2 linked regions of the Coturnix japonica genome follow. The protein of the gene in region 1 binds, or shares a complex with, the protein of each later gene. Links are inferred from orthologs where the notes say so. Each region holds a gene or a part of one and is shown on either strand. Other genes may lie near its edges.

Evidence for each region.
Region 2: LSM11 (region 1) and LSM10 share a complex: the UniProt entries of both Homo sapiens proteins name them as parts of the heptameric ring U7 snRNP complex. The link is inferred for Coturnix japonica from reciprocal best matches to the Homo sapiens genes LSM11 and LSM10.

Annotation. Positions count from the first base shown.
Region 1 is NC_029528.1:13,018,780-13,021,407, forward strand, and holds part of LSM11 (U7 snRNA-associated Sm-like protein LSm11), read right to left. Parts: intron 2,488-2,628; coding exon 2,083-2,487; 3' UTR 1-2,082. UniProt on the Homo sapiens protein: Component of the U7 snRNP complex that is involved in the histone 3'-end pre-mRNA processing. Increases U7 snRNA levels but not histone 3'-end pre-mRNA processing activity, when overexpressed. Required for cell cycle progression from G1 to S phases.
Region 2 is NC_029538.1:3,591,171-3,593,629, reverse strand, and holds LSM10 (U7 snRNA-associated Sm-like protein LSm10), read right to left. Parts: upstream 1,386-2,459; 5' UTR 1,278-1,385; intron 1,014-1,277; 5' UTR 1,007-1,013; coding exon 635-1,006; 3' UTR 517-634; downstream 1-516. Other genes in the region: protein OSCP1, read right to left, coding at 1,395-1,511, 1,598-1,661, 2,144-2,283. UniProt on the Homo sapiens protein: Appears to function in the U7 snRNP complex that is involved in histone 3'-end processing. Increases U7 snRNA levels but not histone 3'-end pre-mRNA processing activity, when overexpressed. Required for cell cycle progression from G1 to S phases.

The sequences.
Region 1 (2,628 bases):
GTGGAAGAACAGGTCGGCTATATAAAAATCAAGGCACCAACGCAAGTGTGAGCACCGGAATTTGTCAGGGAATCTAGAAACAGAAATGACCAGATGTGAAACAACAAACACTTGTAAGATTGCAAGAAAAACCTTTTATGAAAGGAAACACTGAGATTTGCTGTAGAAAGTGATGGAGTGTCTGTCAGTGGCACAAAAGCTGAACAAACACTCAAGGCAGATGTATCTTATTTAATGCATAAGAAAGGATGAAATAGGCAGACAAAGAGAAATATGGATATGAGGTTAGAAAGATAATCCACAAGAATTGAATGGGGTATCGACACGTAGGCCTGAGTGGAGATATAACAAATACCCTTTGGTCAACTATGAGAGAAAAGGGAGAGGTGTCAAACCAGCAGCCTTTGGCATTCATGAATGGAAGAGGCAGAGACGGCCCATGCAGCTGAAATAAACTAGTTAGAAACTGGAGGAGAGAGAAACACAACTGAAAACAAAATGAAGAAAAACAGTAATTTGTAATGAAAGTTGCTGAGACGTCAGGAGCAGAAAGAAGTTCCTTGTTTCTAGCTCCATATGCAAATCATTTGTGAGGATTCTGTTCAGCTGGCAAGTACAAGGAAAGGCAACCAGGAAAGGTTCAGAAAGAGCCACCAGGGGTAAGGAGATCAATGTTCTGAAACTGGAGTTAGAAAGGAACATCCTGGGGAGAGAAACTGCTGAAAGGAGAAGGAAACTGCACGTGAGGGAATAGCCAACCACATCAACACCAACAACAGCACAACAGGAGGTGGGAACAATACAATACTTCTTAATCTGAGGTACTTTTGTCCCAGTCCGAACTCTGATTTGCTTCTCAGTGGCTGCGCTGATCATCCAACCCCACCTCATCTGAAATGCTGACATAAAAGGTTCAGGCTCCCCCAGAGGCGTAAAGCTGCTCTGCATGTCCAGGAGCTCCTGCTAAATAACTTTTCACCCAAGCACCAGACATACCCCTAACGACAAGCAATATGCTGCATTTGGTGTAATAGAAATCCATCATTCAAGAGGACACTCGCTCAGCCTGAGGACTTGTGACCTCTGTACGCAATACAAGACCTGTTATAAAGCACTAGAAAGCTGCTTTATCTGTTGTCCTGGCAGTTTCACATCTTCACACCACAGCTGCTGGGATCAGAAGGTATTTGGTATGAAAACTGAAACAGTAGCGTGAAATCCAGCATCCTCTGCCATCCAGAAGAACAGACTAAGTAATTTAACAGCATTATTTACCTCAAACTTTTGTACATAGCTCTCGGGAAGCAGTTTATATACACAGAAGCCCGGCCTGATCTGTCATGAGCCGAGTTTAACTTTTACACAGATAGGGAAGAGCCATGACAATTTCTGCTCCATGAGAACAGCTGGAGACAGAGCACCTCTAGTTTCAACAGAGGGAACTTAAAGGCGCTTAGATACAGCATGAAGTGCTCAGCACGAACACTTCTATCTGAGAAGGAAAAGCACAACTTTGCAGATATTGCTATTGCAACGGGAAGCAAATGAAAGAGAGAAGTACAGTTTTCCATATGCATCCACAGCATTTAGAGATGGGTCCTCCAAACGTGGAGGTCCCTCCATCAGCTCTATGAGCTGCTTGCTGGTGATGCATGGCGAAAGCACAGCACTACAAATAGAAGCATCAGCTTTGACACTGAAAACAGATTAAATCCTCACAATCATTAACAGGAGAAGAACAGTCTTCAACTGAGAGGTTTTCCATCCCACAGAGCATTACATTCTCTACCAACCTTCCTGACTTAGCTGTTCACTTTTTAAGCAGTGGGCTCTGTGCTCGTCTCCCTCATCTCACAGAGTAAAACTGTGCTGCTGACCTCACCCTGTGGCCCCCAGCAGAGACTGAAGGAAGCTGCTTTGGCAGTAAGCTCAGGATACTCCTATTAGAATTACTTCCCTTCCCTTGTTATGGCAGTGGGAAACCTGTCACAGTACCATACTCACAAGAATGCTAAATAGTAATGAGGGCTACCACAGCAAGTCATGCTATCAAATAAATACACTGACGAAGGCTCAGCCAAGTCAATGAGCTAAATGGACAAGCAAGACGTTCTCTCCTCGAATAAAAATCTGGTTTATGTGACGTGTGAACACCTGTTGATAATCCACTTTGGGCCTCCTTTTTCTCCGTGCCTGGCTCCTCGTGCGGGTACCACCAGCAGTGGCACCCACTGTGTGAGCAGTCCCGCTGCCCACATCAGCTTCACCTCTGACAGCTGAATGCAAACTGTCTCCTGGCACCTTCTTTTCTCCACCTCTGCCCAAGCGTTTCTGCTTCTCACGTTCATCTTCTTCTCTCCCTCGTCCTGATCCAACTTTCCATCCAGGTGTTTGAGAGTCACTTGTCAGGGCTAGCTCCCCTGATACAGTCTTTGAGTCAGCTCCCTTCTTCACAGAGGCATCCTGAAGCTTGAGTCTGTCAAACAGCTGTAAAGGAACATTTCTGTATGTGACCACTCATAAAACAAGGAAAGCCTTTTGTTCTGCACTTCTGTATGGTATTTCAGTACACGGTCCCAAAACAGTTCTCATAATATTCAATGAATGAAGAATCTTTACCAGAAATAA
Region 2 (2,459 bases), on another chromosome or scaffold:
CTGAGTGGTGATGATTGATTGGCTGATGAGAGATAACTCTCTCCGTTGATTGGTGCATGCTGTGTGAGCGGGTTGGTCGGCGGGCGGGATGTTATCCGCGCTTTGATTGGAAGAGAAACACCTCAAGGCCCGCCCCCTCCCACCCGCGCATGCGCACTGCTCCACCGCCCCCATGCGTGGTGCTAGGCCTTAAGATGGACGCCATGATGGCAGTACCCCATGCACTGCCCACTGCCCACCCTCAGACCAGGCCCATGCAGGCAGCCAGGCCCCAGGAGCTATAGATACAGCCCTATAGAGCCTATAGGCAACGAGCACTGAGGCCAAAAGGGCTTTAAGAGCTGGAAATCCATAAGGAGAGGGATAAAGGAGCAGCTGCCAGCCCTATAGAGCCTGTAGGCAATGATCAGTGTGGCCAAAAGGGCTTTAAGAGCTGGAAATACATAAAGAGAGGGATGGAGGAGTAGCTGGCAGCCCTATAGAGCCTATAGGCAATGATCACTGCAGAGCCAAGCACTGAGGCCAAAAGGGCTTTGTTTGAGAGCTGGAAAAACATAAGGACAGGGATAAAGGAGTAGCTGCCATTACACAGGGATGGAGCTTCCAAGCTGGGCTGTTGATTGAGGAATGGGGCTCATTTGTGCTTGGCTCGAGGGAACTCCCTCCTGCCCTTGTCGCGGCCCCCGAAGTAGCGCACGCGGTGGATGGCCTGCAGCTGCCGCTCGATGGTGGCCCTGATGTCCACCCCATCCGGGATGTGCACGTAGCGCACGTTCCTGCCCGCCACGAACATCTCGTCCAGCTGCGACACCTCCCCTCGTCTGTCCGTGAACGTCACCTGGGCCAGGCGGATGTTCATGAAGGCGTCGACGTTGGACACTCGTCCCGTGGCCGTGCTCTCGTCGCGGAGATCCACGGTGGTGACGTGGCCGTGCAGACCTTGCAGCAGGATCACCAGGCTGTTCTCGGCGATGGTGCGCTCCTTGACTGAGTGGCTGACCTCCATGGTGGGGCTGCAGCATATGAATGGGGAGATGCACCACCAGCACCTCCACCTGCAGGACTCGTGTATATACACACCAGCATGGCAGCTCCATCGCCTGCCTCCTCCCCTTGCACGCCCAGTGCTCATCACATCCCCCCCTTTGCACACAGGGGTGCCCCCACCCCCTTTATGCACTCACACAACTCCCACCCCACACATTCAGACCCCCACCCAAAACCCACACTCACCCCCGCAGCTCCCTCACCCCACTTTTAGCCCCCATCCCACTCACCGCCCGGCAACATGAAGGGGCGGCCCCTGTTTCTCGCTGCCCCGCTTGATCCCTCCCCGTTCGTCCCCGCCCCACTCGTCGGCTCGGAGGCAGGATGGAAGAAACGCCTTTAATGGCTCACAACCCGTCCATCAGAGCCAGCAGGTCCTCTCCCTTCCCGCAGCTCTCCTCGCACTGTTCCGCCACCTGCAGGTCGCCCATGATTCGATCCAGCTCCGCTCTCCTCGCCGGCTCCTGAGTAGAGATAAAGGCTCAGCCAGGCGATAAATAAAGCTCTTATCGTAGTAGTTTGAATGTATGTGAATTGCAGCTGAACGTACCTCGGTGGCTTCAATGTTCACAACCTTGTATGAGAACTCCTCGGGTCTTGTCAGCGCCGCCTGCCTTTAATTGAAAATATAGAGTGCTTAATGTGGTGCCATCCTGTCACATCCCACCCGTTCCACAGGTCAGTAGTGTTTTTCAATGGTCCATGCAAGAAGGTGGTAAGCGACTCGTACCTATGAGAAATTTAGACAGCACTGCTGTTTCTAGCAGGCAAACTAGGATGCTGATCCCATTTTGGAGACTGAACCCTGCTTTGGGTTTTCTGATGCTAAATGTAAAGCAGTGGAAACGTCTCCCTGCCAGGAGGGGGCTGCAGTGCTCCAGCCTATCTGCCTCCTCACCTCCCTTCACTTATTGCATCTCTCTGAAGTGACTGTAGGACAGGAAAGCTAAGGGTGCTGAAGGCACACACCAGACTGTCAGTGCCCCAGCATCACCTGAAGGCAGTATTAAAGCTGTTAAGGATCAGCTTCAGCCTCCAGGTTTTGTCCACGTATCATTAAATCACAACCCCCAGACCACAACCAGCTGCATCATACTCTTCTTCTTCATCTGTCATGAATAAATTCAGTCGGAATCCTGTCTCACTGCCACTAGGTTTCTTGATGTCCAGACCTCCCAGCAGCCTGGCCAAGAAGTTCAGTTCTTCTTTAGCAAGAGGGTTAGGGGTTATATTCTCCTGCAGAAAACAGCAATGGGTTCATTGGTCAGGTTACCAGGAAGAAGAGGACTAACAAAGCTACTATATTCTCATATTACCTCAATATACACAAACACATTCATGTACTGTTAATGATACAGGCAACTCATCATTATTAGTCATGGGTTAATAAGGTGGTTGCTTGAATTTCTAGA